Linked DNA regions of Drosophila melanogaster. Changing the gene in region 4 together with the main gene of any one other region gives a genetic interaction. Each region holds a gene or a part of one and is shown on either strand. Other genes may lie near its edges.

What was found.
Region 1: of cpo (region 4) and RacGAP84C, changing one enhances a phenotype caused by changing the other (phenotypic enhancement), as found in Drosophila melanogaster (one study listed by BioGRID).
Region 2: of cpo (region 4) and Nsf2, changing one suppresses a phenotype caused by changing the other (phenotypic suppression), as found in Drosophila melanogaster (one study listed by BioGRID).
Region 3: of cpo (region 4) and jus, changing one enhances a phenotype caused by changing the other (phenotypic enhancement), as found in Drosophila melanogaster (2 studies listed by BioGRID).

What each region holds. Positions count from the first base shown.
Region 1 is NT_033777.3:7,283,992-7,288,158, reverse strand, and holds RacGAP84C (Rac GTPase activating protein at 84C), read right to left. Parts: upstream 2,198-4,167; 5' UTR 2,055-2,197; coding exon 1,735-2,054; intron 1,599-1,734; coding exon 791-1,598; coding exon of another isoform or gene 767-790; exon of another isoform or gene 708-766; intron 671-707; coding exon 644-670; 3' UTR 530-643; downstream 1-529.
Region 2 is NT_033777.3:13,832,945-13,839,605, reverse strand, and holds Nsf2 (N-ethylmaleimide-sensitive factor 2), read left to right. Parts: upstream 1-1,614; 5' UTR 1,615-1,693; coding exon 1,694-1,803; intron 1,804-1,903; coding exon 1,904-2,228; intron 2,229-2,863; coding exon 2,864-3,829; intron 3,830-4,068; coding exon 4,069-4,926; 3' UTR 4,927-6,109; downstream 6,110-6,661. Other genes in the region: CG31495 (uncharacterized protein), read left to right, coding at 1-832. UniProt on the Drosophila melanogaster protein: Required for vesicle-mediated transport. Catalyzes the fusion of transport vesicles within the Golgi cisternae. Is also required for transport from the endoplasmic reticulum to the Golgi stack.
Region 3 is NT_033777.3:29,191,942-29,196,869, forward strand, and holds the start of jus (julius seizure), read right to left. Parts: upstream 3,053-4,928; 5' UTR 2,947-3,052; intron 1-2,946.
Region 4 is NT_033777.3:17,917,840-17,922,845, reverse strand, and holds the start of cpo (couch potato), read right to left. Parts: upstream 3,015-5,006; 5' UTR 1,377-3,014; intron 1-1,376. UniProt on the Drosophila melanogaster protein: May play a role in the development or function of the peripheral nervous system by regulating the processing of nervous system-specific transcripts.

The DNA.
Region 1 (4,167 bases), about 11 Mb from region 4:
AGTGCATTCGAGTTTTGTTTTGCTTTGCTTGTTTTTTGCATTTAATGGCCGCACTTTTTTGCACGGCACTCTCCAAATTGTTTTTAAAATGCTAACTTTTTTCTTGGCGCTTTAACTTATTTATATGTGTTCGCGGCAAAATATTTTACTTTGTGCTTTGGTTTACGCTTCAAAGAAACATAAATATGGGAAATGGAAATTATTAATTTTTTACATGTTTTCAACGGTTGGGAATTAATCAACGTTCGGCGAAAAAAATTGCAAATTCAATTAAAAATGTTTATTAATGTTTCAATACTCGAAATATATAGTTTTGCGATAACGTCGCTCTGGGCCATGCTAGATTATTTATGTGGTGCGAATAAGATTTTGGCCTGGCTTTATATTTAATTAGCCGAATTTCATATATGGAAATAATGGGTGTTTTCTGAGAGTATCTTTTGGTGATTCAATAAATCAAGTATTGCACTTGAGATGTCAAGTACTCTTGTTAGCCGCATATAATTCAACAACACATACACAACATGTTAGAGATCCAATTATTATTAGTTCTTCAACTGTAGTGAATAATGAAAAAAAATACAAAATAAAATAAAAAAGGGTGACTGCATCCATTCTCGATGTCTCAGTCATAAGACTTTCACTATAGGTGAGTACTGCTAAGGTTGACCTGAAACAGGAAGTATTCAGTGAAAGATTTGTATGATATGTTTGATTGCTTGTATTGAGTTTGGCTTATTCGAATATGAAATTCTATCCAAATCCGTTAAAGGGAAACCATAGGTCTTACCATTGATCTAAAGTAGGTCTTAACAGAAGACCATCCCAGATTGGACGAGCTGTCCCAGTGACGGTGATTGTACCGGTCCTCAAAGTCATAGGTGCTGCCCAACGAAGTGGGAAGGGGATGGACCTCCAAGAACTGAGACCAAAATCCGGCAGGCATCAGAAGTAGCACCTTCAGCACCCGCTGCCAAGTGACGACATTTTCGAGGGTTAGATCCAGATCTCCGAACAGAGTTGGAGCGAAGATCACGGCAAGATTGTTGACCGTCATGCGGACAGCAGGACTTTCGGCAATTTTCTGCCAGTGAAGCATTAAGTAGGCCAACGTATCCCTGTGAGCCTGATGCAGCTCCAGAACCGCTAAATATACCGCCATCTCCACAGCCAGACGATCTTCGTGCCGCGTGGCCTCCTCGAAATCCCTTCGGTGGTAAATGGGAATCAGAGGGTGAACCAACTGCCGAAGAAAGTCCTTAACACAACAGCACAGTGTGTGGGTGTCTTTATTGCCCAAATGCGGCGTGGACTTGCCACGCAGCAGCTTCCGACGCAGTCGTTTGCATTTCTCTCGGGTGGAGGACACCCGGTAGAGTCCCTCCTGCTGCAATCCCCGCGCCTCGATCTCCGTTACACAATGGACAATTAAGGCCGGCACCATGGGCGCCACCCGAGGCGCATAATCGCTGAGACATCCTCTCTTCGTACCGATTTGAGGCTGGGGGATGCAGTTCACCGTCAGCTGGCGGCAGCAACCGATGTGGCAGCGGAGCGGACACGCCCGACACCTCAGGCTGGCCATGGCGAAGCGGATCCTGGAAGAAGACCAGGGACACGCGGTTAGGGAGGTAAATGCTGGTCAGAGAGGGTTGGGATGTTATTTAACTTTTCATGTTTTCCCTGAATTCGAAATCCTCTCAGAAGTTCCACCATTCGGTGATTGCAACTCACCTTTTGCGGCAGTGTACGCAGTTCCCCACGTTGTAGTAGTAGGACTTAATCTTGAAATTGTGCTCCCTCAGCAGCCCCGAGTGGGACTGCGAGCAGAAGTCGAGTCCGTCCGTGGATAAGCCATCGCAGCCACTGGGATTCATGTCCACGCGATCCTGCAGCGAGTCCAGGGACTGCGATCCAAACATGCGGTAGTGCTCGCTGAGGTCATCGTAGGACCTGTACTCCCGCAGAAGCCTCCGTTTGTTCTGCATCGTGGGGCGAACGGGCGACAAATAAAGTCGATTTGAGGGCGTCCGACTCCCAGAGCCACTAATCATAAAGTTGGCGAATTGATTCAGCTGTTCTGGTCAGTTGGCAATTTCCGAAGAGAGGCCACTTCGGCTTGAGTCAGCTACGCAGAAGTTATCGGCTCGCTTCTCCGAATACTCGACCGAAATGTTTATTTACTCTTACGGTTTATTTGGAATCGGGTGAAAGCTGATAGCTTAAATAGTTCTGGCAGCACAAAAATTCGATCACCCATAGAGAGTGCCTACTGTGGGTCGTACATTTGTAAATATTTCTGGATAATTCATACACACATCTAGGGTGCTCCGCAGAAATTTAATGGGCGACTAAGGTGTTACTAAGAAATATCAAAAATGCTGTTTTCAATACAAAAAAAAAGTGAATCAAATTATTATAAACATTTTTTGTGCCTAACAATAACAGATATTTGCCCTGTCTTCTTCATATAAACAAGTCAGTGGTGATCTTTTTATATTTTCGATTCAATTAAATCGTTAAAGACAATCAATCACACCGAGATTCAATGTCACGATACAAAAGCTAAAAATCCCTAAAAACAAAAAGAATGTAGAAAATCGAACTAAAAAAACAATTTGCTAAAGTATCTATGAATTCTAAGCGCCCAGAAAATGGCTCAATGGCGCCGCTAAATGGATGAAAAATTCATGGAAAACCGTTTTGCGGCCACCAGACATAGAATGCAACCAGCAAAAATGTAGCACGAAAAAATGCTGCAGTTCATGTGAGGCCGGAACGTCAGAAAGCGAAAATGTTGAGTAAACGTGCTGCTAAAAAAACACAAAAATTAGAATTTAAAGGGACTTCGAGCTTGGAACTTTTGTGGAAAACGAAACATGGATCTGTCTGTTGATTTAATGGCATCATTGGCATTGATTTTTATGCGATTTTAAAGTTTGGATAGAGTAAAAACAAAATTATCATGGCACTTTTCAGTTTTGGGCTGTGAATTGAAGAGCAGCGCCAGCAAAATTAACGAGCAAGGCGGGGAATTGGATTTTTATGCTTTTTTGTAGTCGTTTTTTAGGCGTCAGCTGCATTGACGCCGGTGTGCCTATGTGTGCGTGAGCATTTGAGGGTGTGGGTTTAGGTGTGTGTGAGCTTTGGGCTGAAATACTAAGGATGGTTGCCACTGCCACATTGAATTCGTAGTTATTAATGCGTATTGAAATGCACACATTGCAGTGAGTGAGAGTGTCTCTCTCTGTGATTATGCGGCGTGTGTGTGGGCGTAGTATTCATAATTGCACTTGTGTGGGCTTCTATCTGTGTCCGACTGTTTTGTTTGTATTCAAAGTCCACAAATACGAGTCACGCATCGCAATAAGCCCATGCAATCCCCTGCCTCACTCCTCACTCCACTTTTCCCAAAATGCTTTTTTGTACTTTTTCTGATTCGCCTCTGACTGTGTGTGTTCAAATACGTGTGTGGCCCTATGTGTGTGTCTGTCCGTTGCGTATTCCAAAAAGCAAAAAAAAAAAGTACAGAAACACAACAAAACAGCATAAAAAATGTTTGGACATCCACAAAACATACAAAAAAGAGGGGAGTTCTGGGCAAAAACGAGTGGGAAAAAATGGCATCAAAGCACGTTGACAGTGTTGCCACGTGGTGATAATTAATTTTTCACACACAAAAGTTGATCAAAATGTTTTTATCCGGTGCCTCCAAAATTTAAGGAATTATTTGGTTGCATCGAGCTCAAAATATTTCAACTTTAAAGCTTCTTAACAGAATGAAAAAGTTTAACGCAATTGTTATAGATTCAGGATGTTGCTTAAAAACATCTTAGCACATGGTTTTCTGTACTAAAACCATGAAATCAGCAATTAATTAATTAAAAGTCTCAGATGTATATCATTTAGCTACTAGGGAACACTCTTAAAATATCCACATAGAAATAGAAATATTAACACCCACCAGTATGTGGGATAAAACTAGATATTCAAATTCTGAAAAGCTGGCCTACACATAAGATGACCAATATGATTTTAAGGACAAAAAATCAGTTCACTAAGTGACCTTTTGTGAATTGAACTATAAATCGCAAAACAACCTGTTAAAGAATTCCGCCTCAATCGTCGCTTTGTCTAACCCAATTCTAGTTGGGCACTAAAAACAAC
Region 2 (6,661 bases), 4.1 Mb from region 4:
CGTCACCAGATGCCCGAAGGGCCTTCAAGTCACTCAGGTCGATCTCCTGGCCGCGGTAAAGATCATTCAGCCACGATTTGGCCGGCAGGAGGAGACTCTCCAGCTGCTCATGCCATATGAATATCTAGATCGTACCGCTTTCGATCCGAATGATCTCCTGTCCACCGGACGCCCAAGATGGTCTTGCCATCTGGTCGAAGGTAAGCCCAAGTCAGGCCTAACTACGGTGGCCGCTCAAATGGCTTTGAAAACAGACTGCCCTTTTATAAAATACATCTCGTCGGCCGAATTGCTGGGACTTAGCGATTCCGAAAAATGCCAGAGAATACGGGAAGTCTTGGAGGACGCCTATGTTTCCAGGCGCAGCTGCGTCATCATTGACGACTTTGAGCGTGTCATTGGTTACGGCGCCCTGGGTAAGCGGTACTCCAAGGAGTTCCTGCAGAAGCTGACGGTTCTTCTGAAGAAACAACCGCCCAACAGCCACGAGCTCATCATCATTTGCACAAGCAATCGTCTCGATGTCCTGGAGGAACTGGGCTTGCTATCCGTTTTCACTTCAGTTCACAATGTGCCAAATGTTTCCACGCCTAAAGAACTTATGGTCATAGTGGAAGCTTCAAAACGATTCGAGCCCGAGGAGCTACGCCAAATCGAGATCGCCATGGATGGCCGCAACGTCTCCATTGGCATCAAACGGTTGCTTGACTTGATTGCGTGGGTGAATTCCCTAAATCCCGACCGTCGAGCTGCCAAATTGCTGAAGAAATTGGGCGAAGCAATGGGATGGGTAGGGAACCATTCTAGTCCACTTGTACCTCAATACATTTAAGACGTTAGGTTAGGAAATGCAATATTGTATCTACAATTCCAGGAAAATAATTCCAAGTGATTCCAAATAATTCAGTAATGCTTTATATTTAAAAGAACCACGTAAGCATAAAAAAACCATCTAAAAAAATAATATTGCATTATTTTTTGGATGAACTTGCTTCCATTGCATTGCAATGTTCTTAAGACTAAAATGAACAGCCCGATAATGTGATTGCAAAGATACTAGATTATTATATTATATATATATTATATATACACCAGGCCAGACCTCTCAGTGGCCTTCGCCTGCTGTACGGAGAGCATTCCGTCCTCCAGGAGTTCGGTGACCGGTGGGCCCAACATCTCCTGGGCTGCTCCAAAGGCGGGCTTGATGTCGTTGTCCAATATATATATATATACATAATTATATATATAATATATATTATATATTATATATATATATTATATTGTTCTAGTGTCTTTGGTGATTGGCATAACAAGTTTTATTACCATATTATATATATATAAGTAAAAATAAAGATATTTGAATTGCAAATGCCACCCATTTTATCGTTATTTACTTAGAGGATTTGGCTTTTGATACAACACATTTTTTGGATTGTTTTCTTCACCAATCCTGGTGCTGCAGAGCTGCTTAGCAACAGCGAAGAAGTCTTGAATGCGGGGGATATATGTATTATTAGAAAATGCAAATGCGCGCCAATGAATTCAAATTTGCACTGCAGGTGCCGTAGCAGGCATCTTTTGCTCGCAATCACAGTGCATACACACACGCAATGCCGAACAGGGTTGCACTCCCTCAACGGGCTATCAGCTGTTTGAGACAATTTCGGGATTATATTATAAAATTGCTACGAAAATGTCAATTGAAAAAGCCCACCGGATGAGAGCGATCAAATGCCCAACGGATGAGCTGTCCCTGACGAACAAGGCGATTGTGAATGTGTCCGATTTCACGGAGGAGGTCAAGTGAGTGTTGGTTTTTGTTGTTTTTCCACTTCCTACGTGGGCGTACGAGCCTATGGAAACTTTCGCTTATGCTAATGACGCACCGCTTGATACCCTGCAGATATGTGGACATCTCGCCGGGCCCGGGGCTGCACTACATCTTCGCGCTGGAGAAGATCAGCGGGCCGGAGCTGCCGCTCGGCCACGTCGGATTCTCGCTGGTCCAGCGCAAGTGGGCCACGCTCTCCATCAACCAGGAAATAGACGTGCGGCCGTACCGATTCGATGCCAGCGCCGATATCATCACACTGGTCTCCTTCGAGACGGACTTCCTGCAGAAGAAGACCACCACGCAGGAGCCCTACGACTCCGACGAGATGGCCAAGGAGTTCCTCATGCAGTTCGCCGGAATGCCGCTGACCGTCGGCCAAACGCTCGTCTTTCAGGTAATGGTGTGGATGTGGCTCCCCCATAAATGTATGCAGTATAGAAAAATAGATAGCAAAGGACTGAAACTAAGGTAGTAATCTGGAGAGGATTAGTGATATATGCCAGAGCCAGTTAAAATACTACCCAATTCAATGAGGGTTCTCGGTTTATCTCGGACGCACCTATTCATTATTTCACCATTTATTGTGTGCACTTATAATAATTTTGGTTTTGTATAACTTTACAAAAAGATTTATACGTTCATAGCATAGCGGTAGTGAGAATATTCGTTATTTGTGTTATTCGATATTCGTTATTTTATATTTACTGACGTGTCTTGATTGTCATGAGATGCTGAATCTCATATTCCACATTTAGACGGTGACCTAATGCAAATATTAACAAGGTAGCTTACCTCCAACAATTAGAAACCCAAAGACACGTAACTCTCCCTTAGATCATCTTTTTGGCTCTCTGCCAAATCTTTTTTAATAATTCAGCATACAATGTCCCCCTTTTTTATGAACTAAAAATAGTGTGTTAGGCTGCCCTCATAGGAAATGCAACTATCTTAACATAGTAATTCTTCTAACATGCTCCTTAATGTACATATATCGTTCGTTTGCTAATAAGGATGTTTACCGCCTTTCAGTTCAAAGACAAGAAATTCCTGGGCCTCGCTGTAAAAACGCTGGAGGCAGTGGATCCCCGAACAGTGGGCGATTCCCTACCGAAGACTCGGAACGTACGATTCGGCCGCATCCTCGGTAACACGGTGGTGCAGTTCGAGAAGGCCGAAAACTCTGTGCTAAATCTGCAGGGTCGCTCCAAGGGTAAGATCGTGCGGCAGTCCATCATAAATCCGGACTGGGACTTTGGCAAGATGGGCATTGGTGGCCTAGACAAAGAGTTCAATGCGATTTTCCGACGCGCCTTCGCCTCTCGTGTTTTTCCGCCGGAACTTGTCGAACAACTGGGCATCAAGCACGTTAAGGGTATTCTGTTGTACGGACCACCAGGCACGGGAAAAACCCTGATGGCCCGGCAAATAGGTACCATGCTGAATGCCCGCGAACCCAAGATCGTGAATGGACCGCAGATCCTGGACAAGTACGTGGGTGAATCAGAAGCCAATATCCGGCGACTGTTTGCCGAGGCCGAGGAGGAGGAAAAGCGCTTGGGACCGAACAGTGGACTGCACATCATCATCTTCGACGAGATCGACGCCATTTGCAAGGCTCGCGGATCCGTGGCCGGTAATAGTGGTGTCCACGACACGGTCGTCAATCAACTGCTAGCCAAGATCGACGGCGTGGAGCAGTTGAACAACATCCTGGTAATAGGAATGACCAACCGGCGGGACATGATCGATGAGGCCCTGCTGCGACCTGGACGCTTGGAAGTGCAAATGGAGATCAGCTTGCCCAACGAGCAGGGTCGCGTCCAGATCCTGAATATCCACACCAAGCGGATGCGTGACTTTAACAAGATAGCTAGCGATGTGGACAACAATGAGATCGCGGCCAAGACAAAGAACTTCAGTGGCGCAGAGTTGGAGGGTCTGGTTAGAGCGGCCCAATCCACGGCCATGAATCGGTTAATAAAGGCGGACTCCAAGGTATATGATGCACAGCATGGCGTGAAAGCAAAGAAAGGGGGTTCTCTTAATTCACATTCGGATCGAAATGTTATTTTATTTATTTGGCGTATTCGCTTATTTCATTTATCTCTCGGTTTGCGTTTCGGGTTTCGTTTAATTTCGAGTAATTTGGTTTCGATAAACCAAGAAAGCGATTAACGTTCGACTGTTCCACTATTCTAAAATTACCATCATCATTTGCTTTTCTACGATCCAAGGTTCACGTGGACCCGGAGGCTATGGAAAAACTGCGTGTTACGCGAGCCGACTTTCTGCACGCATTGGACAACGACATCAAGCCCGCCTTTGGAGCAGCCCAGGAGATGCTGGAAAATCTGCTGGCACGCGGAATTATAAACTGGGGCCCACCGGTCACCGAACTCCTGGAGGACGGAATGCTCTCCGTACAGCAGGCGAAGGCCACTGAGAGCTCTGGCCTGGTGTCTGTTCTCATCGAAGGAGCTCCCAACTCCGGCAAATCAGCGCTGGCCGCTAATCTGGCCCAGTTGAGTGATTTCCCATTCGTTAAGGTCTGCTCCCCGGAAGATATGGTAGGATTTACGGAGTCAGCCAAGTGCCTGCACATCCGCAAGATCTTCGACGACGCCTATCGCTCCACATTGAGCTGCATTGTGGTGGACAATGTGGAGCGATTGCTAGACTACGGTCCAATTGGACCCAGGTACTCTAATCTCACGCTGCAGGCGCTATTGGTTCTACTGAAAAAGCAACCGCCAAAGGGTAGAAAACTGCTGATCCTGTGCACTTCCAGCCGGCGGGACGTTCTCGAGGAGATGGAAATGCTCTCGGCTTTCACGTCCGTCCTGCATGTGTCCAATCTCTCAACTCCCGAGAACGTGCTTGCCGTGCTGGATGATTCTGATTTGTTTAGTCCCGAGGAGCTGCAGAGCATTGCCAGGAAAATGGCGGGTAAGCGATTGTGTATCGGCATCAAGAAGCTGCTGGCTCTCATCGATATGATCCGGCAATCGGAGCCTCACCAGCGGGTTATCAAGTTCCTCAGCAAAATGGAGGAGGAGGGCGGTCTGGAAATGGATAGGGTGCAAGGGCACTAGCTACGCCTTTAAATTAATTTACATTCCATTATCAAACAGCAGAGTGGTTCGATTTGATTGATTCAAACTGGAAAAACGGTTATGTGTTTACAATTAAAAATATATATATATGTATTAAAACAAAAAACCGTTACAAAAATACTTATAACCTTTTGGGAAAAAAGTACAACGTAATATAATATAATAATATATTCCCATATTTCAAAATATCTTACTTGCAGAGTGGGTTTCTATAAAATTCTATACTTTCGTGAAACTTTGAAATTAGTTGCCTTCAAGCCTAATACACAGAACCGGTGACCACTTTTATTGTTTATTAGGAAGTGTATAATTTTATAAACTCATATTCTGCAAATCGAAGAAATCGACCCACCCTAGTGCAATTTTATGATTGTGTTTTTTTTCCCGCTATCAAAAGGGAATCACAATGATAGGTTTCAGCTGCAATATAATATTCTAACGCTATACTTCGCTTAAGTTCCACTAAAAAAAAAAAAATATAATAAAGCGTAACTGAAGACCAACTTGTGAGATAAAGTCAAGTAATTTGTAAGTTTTGAATTTGATGATACCAACGAACTTAAAGTACTCGCATTAGCGACTAAGGATAATCCGTCGGTGTCCACCATGAAAATCTCAGTTTGAGTGCACAGACTTACATAGAGAATTTGATACCAACATGATGTATTTTATAAGGATTTTACGGATATTGCATTTACCATGATAAATAAAAAAGACAAAAATCCGATGATGCAGCCCTAATAGATTGATCTTTTAAATCAAAATTGAATTAAGATGCTTAAGCGTTATACCGATACTTAAGAACTATAATTCTGAAAGTTATTTTACAGAGCGCACAGTTTTGAATACGTGTGATTTTTATTTACATGACTTTTTACCAAAAACGAAAACAAATCATTTTTGTTATATTTTTCTTTACATCCATAAGTGAGATCACTTTGGGTTTGAAAACTAGCTAAAGAAGGTGCATGTCTTAGCTACAATTTCTGAATTTCGATCGAAGCTTTTCGAAAAACACGAAATATATGTGAATCATTTGTAAATGGATATGTCTTTTATGGATAAACTTGATGTGTACCAACGGGATAACAAACTAATTTATGTAATTTACCCAATAGCTAAAAATAAATGGAGTTTTCCCAAAGACTATGGTCTTTTTAATAAGAACGGCTGAAACGATCTTTAGTCAAAAATATATATAATGCAAATTGATTGATTGCCTTTTCTTTTCGTTCCAGGACACATTAGTTCCCTTGGTAGTTTCGGAGTGTAGCAGCTTGAATTCTTTGAAAACTCCTATTTATTTAAATATTGTTTTTTCTCGGCGATCGCCGCCCGACAGCTGTCCGCTTGGAAGGCGTCAAGTGGTTATCATACCATGTACTCACCCGATCCGATCCGATCAGTCCGATCCATCGATCAGCTGTTCGCGACAAGATCCGACGCCGGAACCCAATCAGAGCAGTGGTCAGCTTGGCCGAGGTGCTGACCACAGCCAGTCGGTCGGCGTAATATGCAATTTGAATAAATGATTTATAATGAAAACACCTTAGCGGCGCGTCGTCTGCGTATACGTAATGTGGAGCGGAGTGGAGTGCCACACTGCTCGGTAATTGATATATGGCGCTAATTGCGCTCGACGCCCATTTGTGGTCCAGTCCAGCTTTATCAGCGGCAGTCGTCTGAGGAATCCTGGGTAGCCATAGCCATAGCC
Region 3 (4,928 bases), about 11 Mb from region 4:
CGCCGGCGCTGGCTGGCCTATAAAAATGGCAATCATTATTATAGTCATGTACCAGGCAATGGGGCGTTACGGCAATCAACGCCAGCGTCCCCGCCAGAGCTCCATAAATAAGCGCGCAATTTCAATTTTCAACAACGCCCCAAAGGAGCTCATACTCGAGCTGAGGAGGAGCTGAAGAGGCCCGAGAAGCGAAAACCGGAGACAGACGCAGGCCGCATCGAAGATTATATGGTATATGGCTTATATGGTAAATGGCAGGCCGTGGTGTGTATTTAAATGCATTTTTTAATAGCCATAAAGCGGGCAGCTTGTCGGCCTAAACGGGAGGAGCACCAAATGCCAGCGGGCGCACTTAAAGGCCTCCTCCATGCGGATTTCGATTGAGAGTCCGCCTTGGATACGGATACTTGGCCGGGACAAGGACGAATGCGCAACTAAAACAAGAGAAGCCTCCTCGTACGGGGAACGTCGTATATAAATTATAAACGCAAACTGTGCGACAAGGATTTCTGGTTGGGTTTTCGGTTTGCTATACGGCATGTCTGCTCTTTCTACTTCTTTTTTTTTCAGTTTTATTTCTGCCGGTCGACATGCGATTTCGATGGCAAATGATTTTGCATTTGCCTGAGCGGTGGCGTGGGGCTGTGGGGTGGATATGGCGTATAGGGCGGCAAATCGAAGCATAAACGGGCATGCCACATGGTGCAAGTCGAAGGTCAAGGGTCATGCCGGCAGTCGGATCTCCTCGAAATTTACTGCAACACTTGCCGCCGGCGCAAAGGCATCACATTGTGGCATATATACTTTAGTTGTATTTATAGGCTGGATGGAAATTGATGACGTCTCCATCGGCAACGCCCCCCTGCCAGCCACATATATCCTCGAGATCCTTCGGCTGCGCGATGTCATGCCGCATGCAGATTGTCGTGCAGCTAGTAGCGAAGTAACTGCCACTGCAATTGGAGTTAGTTCACTGAAAGAAAGGTGATCCTAAAGCGAATGATATAGAAACAGAATATCGGAAAATGTAACCAAGTAAAGGTTTTTAAATAGATAGAAGATAACTATCCACTACTTTCTTCTGAGCTTTGCAAATGTATCTCAATCTAATCAAGGGTTTTAACTTCTTCCAAGTCTGAAAGATTCTTTAAATGCAGCTGACTTGTTCGTGATCACAGTTACACCCTTTTTCTTCAAGTGTTTGCAACGGCAACTGCCGCAAAGTCTGTGTTAGCCGGAATCGATCCGAAGGAGGAGCAGCGCAACTCGAGTCCTTATAACTTCACCTATACTGTGCATGTGCACATTCGCCAAACTCTGTGTGTATATGTGTGGCAAGGCGAGTGTGATGGTGTGAGTGGAGGCCAGACCATGTGCCTATGCCGTATCCTTACGCCTATGGATATGCCACGCGATGTGATTGTGAATGCGAAAATGTGGCGACGTCGAGGGAAAGTTGTGCTCCCAGCGAAGTTCGCTTTGGTTTGGTTGGGTTCGGTTCGCAGTGGTTTGGCTTGGCTTTGTCGGGGGGGGCTGCTGGCCCCAAAGCTTCTGGGCCAGGATGACGTAGTCCTCCGGCTGAAGTGTGTTAGTATGTCTGCCCTTCCGACTTGGGGTTGCACACACACACCAGCTCACAGCGTATCCATACAGGCGCAACGAGGGTGCGAAGGGGCATTAAATGGTTCGTGTTTTCCCTGCCCTTTTTCATATTTTCATTTGTGCCTCATCTCGCCCGTTTGTCGCCCATATTGGGGTCGCCTGACGGTTCGTACTTTAAAAGCGCCATTTAGTTCGCGCGCAGCCTAAATTATTAAAAGCAAATCCAACACACCGCACACAGGCAGTTCATTAAATTCAATGTATGCAAAATAGCGGCAACAAATGCGGCAAAAGGCAATCTTCCGCCACCCACCCACTCGGCCATCCAGCTGTTGTCATTTTCGAGCCACGAGCCTCAAAAAAGAAACAAGTTTGCGAGGCAAGCTCATCATAATCATGTGCCTTCCAAATGCAGGCGGAGAAAAGTGGGACACTTTTGCAAGAAAAGATGAGAAAATGTTTGAATTTCATCAGTGCTATGATGATATTTCACACAAATCATACTTATATACATACGCAGCAAGTCACATTTCACGAATGACAAATTCCATTGCCTACTTTTAGGCACTACCACAACTTTAGGCACCACATTGCTTTTAAATAGCCATAACTTTAAGATCTTTTATAGATTTCTGATTAGTTCAACTCTTTTCTGGTTATGAATTGTGTTTATCACAGTTTCCCCCCACAATTTGAAACTACTGCAGCGAGTTTTCGCTGCGTGTAGCAACTTTGCTGCGCAAATATGTTTCGCCAACTTCAATTTGTGTCCCAGGTAGTAAGTTTACCGCTGTGTGCGTATGTTTGAGGGGCATGCCGTGTTACTGTTGCCATCGCTGTGTGTGTGTGCGAGCTTGGCTTTTTTATGCGTCACGTGAGAATTTCCTTTATTATTATTTGACTTGGCTACCTCGGTACATATCACGTATACGCAACGTATAATTCCGCAGAAAGGGCATTGATTTTTTTGATTTGCTTTCAGTTCGGTTCGCCATTCCCCCCTTTTCGTTTATTACTTTGATTGCTTTTCACTGTTTTCTTCGTTTTATTTTTTTGTTTTTCTTTTTTTTTTGGTTTGAGGGCATGGATACGCTGCAGTTTGTGATTTTCTTTGCCCTGCTCAAGAAGAAAAATATTTGCTTGCCATTTATGTATATTCTGTTTTCATCTCGTTTTTTTTGTTGTTGTTTGTGTTTGGCACTTTTGGGCATTCGTTTTTTATTCTTGTTGCACGCTGTTCGGTTCATCACCACATTCACACACTTACACACTCATTCACTGACTCACACACACACACACACTCACGCGCGTAAGAAATATACTACTAAAATACAAATTGCTCACAATTTCCTTTGCTCTAGATAGTTGTTGTTGCTGCTGCTGCTGCTGCCTCGCACTGTTTGCTTTCCCACTGGATTTTCTCGGAAAACTCGACGACCACGCGCTTCGACGTCTGACCACGTTCTGAGCCGAATTTCCCACAGCCTTGGTGGAAAATGCGAATGTGGCGTTGGTGAAAAGTCTGCGAGGAAAAGTCACCATCAGGCGGCAGCCGCTTTTCCTCTCACAGGACCTGCGCATTTCCCGCCTGCAGGTGACACACTTTTCCGCGCCAACCGTCGCCGATGAAGTGGATTTTTCGACCCCTCCTCGGGCCACCGCTCCATCCCCCCCTCTGAGCCCACAAGCTCCACTATTTACATGGCACATCGGTTTAAGGCGGCTGGCAGTTTTCCTTCGTTTGCCCACTTTTTTCGTACTTTAGGTTGAAGTAAATTTCGCATGCATTGGCCGGAGGATGGATGCACTGAAAGAAACACATTACCAGCTTGCATATTATATATATATTATATATAGATATTAATTGATAAAATATTTAGCTTACTTATATTTTTAAACTCTATGATAATGGCATGACTTGATGCGTTAAAGTTTTGTAAATAGTGTATTTTATATATAAAAAAAATCAAAAATATCAAACAAATATGAATAGATTAATTCATAATAAAATGAAATTCTATAATATTTTTAGTATATTTTTCTCTGTGTAGCGTAACAAGACCTGGTGTGATGTGGCGCAAATGTCATTTTCAATGGCCGAAAATTTCGGTATGCTGCTGCCCAGTGCAGGGAGTTGAAAATTCGCATTCGCCGCATCCATAATGGATGATATGTCCTTTCGGCCCGCTGATCCTTCGGTTAAAGCAAAGCCACCGGGTTAACTGACCTTTGCAGTGCGGCCAACTTGAAATGCAAATAAGCGCCAATGTCCAATTGTAAAGTTCAGCAATCTAGAGTATTATTTATCACGTTTCAGCACAAACACATTGCCAAAAGCAAACAATTTAGTTTTGTGCGCAAAAGTTGCTGACGCTGGCACGTGCAATTTGAATAATTAACCGAACATTTTAATTAATGAAACAAGTTTGGTATTGACTTGGCCCAAAGTGTGAGTGCGTGTAGATACACACACTAGCACTTAAAAGTGTGTTTTGGCCCGAAGTGTTGTTGGTCATTTGCGCATTTATTAAATTAGAATTTGTGTGCCATTCGGTATGCTGTTTGCAGTGCTTGTGAATAACAAAAAAAAAAAAAAAAGATAATTAAAGTGAGCAGAAATAATTGGGCACTTTATTTATATTTTTTATTTAGTTACCATTCTAGCTATAAAATATGCTGCGAAAATAGGAATTATAAAACACATAGCTGTGTTGTGTGCCATTTGTTATAGTTTAATTGATAATTATTTCGCATAATTATTTCTCTTAATGAGTATAAACACTATTTTAAAACATTCCGAACAATTTATAAATGAAAATTTAAGCAAATGCTTAAAGTTAAAGAACTGACTTAATTATTCCATTTGTATTCCAACTGACAGCAGCTGTTGCAATTATCCCCCTTGCCAAAAACTAAAGTGAAAATGAGGTGGTGGAAAACCATATTCCACGAAGGAATGGCGTTGGCGGATCCCAGAAAGGAAACCGCCGACTGAAGCTGTGAAATGCGAAACGCAGCGGTATCAAAGGGGGAAAAGCGAACTGCCAGAAAAAAATCACAACTGAGAAATCAGAAAAAGGAAAAACCCAACCGGAGCCAACTCAATTCAGCGAAATCAACGCCAACGGCGGCTGCCTGTCAATTAAAACATTAAAACGCGCTGAAAAATGCAGCGAACAGGCGCAAAGTAAACAAACTGCGGAACATGTTGCAGTGCGGACAGCATTTTCCAACATTTTCCAACATTTTCAGCGATTAGAAGCATAGAATTTCGCAATGGAGCACTTAGAGCAGCACCAGAGTTTCGGGCCCAGACCACCAAACCG
Region 4 (5,006 bases):
AAGGCTACTGGGAGAGTGTCCTTTCATGTTCCCAGCGCCACTTTGTTGCTGCTGCCGTTCAGCATTTCCCGAAGCTCATTTTTGCACTCATTAGGTGCTGGCGCCCGAAAGTGTGCAGCGCAAGGGGGATTCGGCCAGAACTGGCCAGTGGAGATGGAAGGCCAGGCCAAGAAGAAAATGGCAAAAAGTGAGTGCGGGGAAAATGGGAAAGTGCGCGCGAAATGGCGAAAAGTCAGCAGATGCTACTGGCCGCTGGCTGATGGAGAGCTCTGGATGCCGGCAAGATGAATTTTTGATGCCCCAAAGTGAGCCAGCTGCAGCGAGAGCGGCCTTAAAGTGGCCACAGCTCTAATGGCCAAAAGGTGAGCCAACTGAAACTCCAGTTCTCGGCCAGTTGGAGCATTTTTTTTAATCGCTTCGTTATTCCGCCGTGGGGTGCAGTTGTTCCTGCAAGGCCAAAACCAAACCGTTGCCAGCCGCGATAATTGAAAATTAAATTTAATTTTATGCCCAAAGTTAAACATTTGCTCAGTCGCGGAGAAATAACACGCATACGCACTGTATTCCCTGGCTCGCGGCTTCATCATCGTAGGTGTCCTGCTGCCTGCCTGTGCGTCGTGTGCTTAGTCCCTTTTGCATCGTGTGAACCGGCACAATTGTTGCGGATTTTCACAAGCGATAATCATAAAAATGAAAATTTTAATAGCGCGCGTGGAGACGAAGGAGAAAATCCCCTCTCTCTCTCTCTCACTCCTTCCACACACACTCGCTTTTCCACCGCCTCTTGCGTGTGTGTCGGTTGATTTTTCTAGCTGTTTACCTACACACGCACACATGCACACACACACATGGCCGCCTATTGATTTTGTCCCGTATGTTGGTGCTTGCAGATGTTTGTGGCATGATCCTAGGCGCTGCAGCAACAAATTTCACTTCGACAGGCTCATTATGGTTTAGCGAAACACGAATACCCTCCAGACCCATTGGCGCATAAAATGTTGGGGTCCCGAACGGTTTTATTTTTGGGCTGTTTTGTGGATTACCTAAGCTCACACGCTTAGGGCTAAAAGTTTATGATTGCTTTCGGCGTATGGAAATACATCTGGTGGGGAGGCGGCTCGCCAAAACCACAAAAGCATTCTCGGATTTGATTTTCTAATTAAGAGCCCTTTGACGTAAAGAGAGAATGTCAATTAGTGTAGGCCAATTTTCACCACAACGTTACCGTTGACTAATGCACGGAAACATCATAGCAAAATGTTATATTCTGTTTCTAATTAATATTAATATATCGTTTCAGATGACACAATCCTTTACGTTTATTCCACAGAAGCCCACCATTTTCAGTTAATGGTTTCATTATTGTGAAAACTTACCTTTTAAGAACTTTAGTTATTTTTCAATCCGTCGTCTGGAATTCAATGAAGTCTTCTCGTCATTTGCAATTGGTCCGCTTGATAAAGTAATTAATATTTTCGCGTAGCATTCATAAACACGCAGTCTAATTTAATTGATATGTTTTCTAGTCGTTATAGTTTTAGACTTTTGCTGAGGCTTCCTCAATGATATGTGACAATATTGTTGTATGTATATATCTCTCTCTTGTTATATTCGAGACAACTAATGTAAAACTTCTAACAAAAATTACTGTTCTTTTGGATTTTCTAAGGTAACTAGATCTTAGATAATTGTAAATTTAATATTTATATTTGCTCTTTGCAAGAGCTTTGATATGTATGCGATAATTTGCACAACTCTCCTTAGGCTAGTTCATTTGTTTTGTTTTTTATTTTGTTGATAAGATAAAAAAGCTTGATTAGGGATTCAGCAAGCTTTTTAGGCGTTTTACATGATATGTTTACGTTTCCATTCGTAGATTTTTTTAATTTCTTGAATTACATTTCTTTTAAATGTGCTAATTTAATATACTTTTCATATTTCACCTTTTGGCATTAAACGATTTACATGATATGTATGGTTATCGCATTGGTTTCTATTCTTTTAAGACAATAAAATATCGTTTTGGTTTTTAGGTAATTGCTGGAATTATTTAGCTGCTTGTCTCAGCTTTTTTTGTTGTTGTATATTTAGTTATTTAATATTTTCTATAGACTATAGAATGATATGTGTTGATATGAGTCTTTTCTTTTAAGTTACATTTCTAAAATATATTTATCGTGCGTTTTTTTTTTATTTTGTCAGCATTCTCTTAAGGGCTTAACTTTTGTTTATAAATTTTCCATCCACTGTGAATGTCTTCCACAAAATTGCGATGTTGTCTCTTGGACTTTCTCTTCCGACTCTGGCTCTCTTTCGCAGTAATGGCTGCTTTCTCTTACTCCTCGAGCCCCCTTTCTCCAACTCCGCGACCTCCTCCGCGCTTTCTTCCTCTCGCTCTCTTTTTGCCCACGCTCCTTCTCCACCCCCTTCTCTTTGCTTTCACAGGCGGCAACGGCAGCGGCAGTTTCTCTATGTATTCGTTTTTTTTTCCTGCCGTTGTATTTCAGTAACTTTTTCCGATTCCGCTTTGGGCCCGCATTCGCTTTCACCGAAAAAAACCGTAGGCGAACAAACAACAACAACTCGGGTTGGAAATTATTTATTCAAGTCAATTAAGTTTTTATGCCCGGGAATTTGTCGATTTTCGGTAATTATCTCTGGCGCAGATTGGGTTAATCCGTATATCCTGGAAGATATATGTAGATAGATATATCCTCTTTGCCGCTGCCGTTGGACGGCCCACACCCGTAAAAATAGCAAAGCAATGGAAATTATACAATCACTGGCTGCGAATTCGAAACAATAAATTTTTGGTGGCACTCGCGTTTCGAAGAATTTCTCGATTTGGCTTCGGAATAAGTTGGCTGCGCCCTGCGGGGTATGCAGCGTTTTATTTATCGCACAATTTCAGATATTGGTCTCAATTTGGCTATATTTTTCGGGGTTTTCACTATATATATCGCTGGCCTCTGTGTTCGCTGCGTGTGACTGAGTCGGAGTGTTTTCGTTTACTCAGGAGCCAGCGCAGGATGCGTGCGATGCCAGGCCATGAATTTTTCATCATCGGGCATCCTTATTAGAGATTTTCGCCCCATCTCGTTGAGATTGCTGCGCGCAGATCCAAAAAGCATCCAAGAGAGCGTAGAAAAGAGCGAACGGAAGTCCTGCGAGAGCGCCCACACACACGCACACATTTGTTATTAAGTGCTTGTTGTGGGTGGTGCATCTCCTTAATATTAACCCCCCGCCTGAAATAAAATTCTCAATTTTCCCTGGCCCTTGCATTTCGTTCAAGGCCCATCATAATCTCATTCAGGTATTTTTCCTGAATTTTTTCCTTGCTTTTTCGGGGGTTGTTTGGCTGTCTTCCATTTGGTGGGGGTCCGTGTTTTACGGCAAGGGGCGGCTTTTTGGGGGTGGCTTTATCTTTATCTGTTTGTTTTTCGCTCTCTTGTCGCTTATATAGCTTTCACATTGTCTGCCTTAATGGTCTTGTCACTTTGACATATCCCGTAGAAGAGCGAAAGATAGAAAGCGTATTAATTCTGCGCAGGTTTTTAGAGAAGACGAAAGGCGTACTTTGGTACAATGGTAGCTGAATCGGCTAAATTTATGACTATTTCCGGTGGTTGCCTTGGCTAATACAGCGAAGTTTCTAATTCGCCGCACAATTGAATTGTAGTGGCGCGCCGGCAGGTGTCGCTTTAGTTGTAGATGTAGATTTTCAAAAATATGTATATTTTTCTATTAAAATAAATACGTATTAAAATCATTGTTGTAAAATAAATTTAAAGAATTTTTTTTTAATTTCAATTAAATCACATACTTTTTTTTAATTAAATTTATATGACAGAGGTAGAAGTTTTTTAAAAACACCCTTTCGAACAAATATGCATTTTGTTTGTGATGTAGCACAATATTTTGTTATGATAACCAATGCCTTAAGTAATTATAATTTTTTTTTAAAATATGTTATAATTCAACTTAAATTTAAATTTGTGCTCATCCAAAACCAGGCAGTCTTTAATTGCCTGTGCAAATAGACCTAATTTCCATAGCTTTCACCAGGCAACAAAAATAACAAAATCAGCCATAACGATTGTTTGACAAACAATAATAGAAAAATCAAAATACATCAGGTTTATATGTGTACACTTATATAAACAGCCTGATTACGCAGTTGAGCTTGCAAACAATAAATTAAATTACACCATAATACGTTTGTGGGCTTTCACTTGTATTTGAAGTGCTTTTATTCACGTGCAGCTTGAAATCAACTAAAGTTAACTCTTAGAAATTGTAAAGCATCTCTTCCTTGTAATTACCTTACAACACAGCATTCGCTGGCCCCAAGAAATTCTTGTCAAAAACTTCCTTCGAGAAAGCCCCCTTTGCAGTCTCTCTCTCTCTCTCTTTAATTGCGCATTTCGACTTTTCTTGGATGACATCTGTTGGCCTTCCTGCCCTGCGTCCTAGCCCAAGTATGTTTTCTTCTTGTTTTTTCTTTTTTTTTTTTGGTTAAAATGAAAATCAATAAAAAGCTCAATGACGTCAGCCGCCCAGACACACACACAAACGCACACACACGCACACTTACAAAGTAAGCGGCAACATCGGAAAATGCTGGCGGCCAAATACAGCTCCTGGCACTCCCAGACTCCACCTGCCACTCCCCCCGCCCACGTAGCTTGCTCTCATCTCCGCCGGAAATCCAATCGCTCCCCTTCGTGTGCCAGTGTGTGTGTGTGCCGGCGACTGTGCGAGTGTTGCGGGTGTGCGAGTGTTGCGAGCCGAAGACACTGCACGTGAGCAGGCTATCAGCAATGGAATAAGAGTTTCGACAGCCAGAAACGCGTTTATCTTTCTGTTTTCAGCTGTCATACGCTGAGAACAAATTTGTAGTTGAATTAAGACAAACTAAAGTAATATTCTATTAATTAAATGGTTTTTAGTATTATAATAAAAATATTTTTAATTTGTACCTAGATCAATTCCCAAACTAAAAC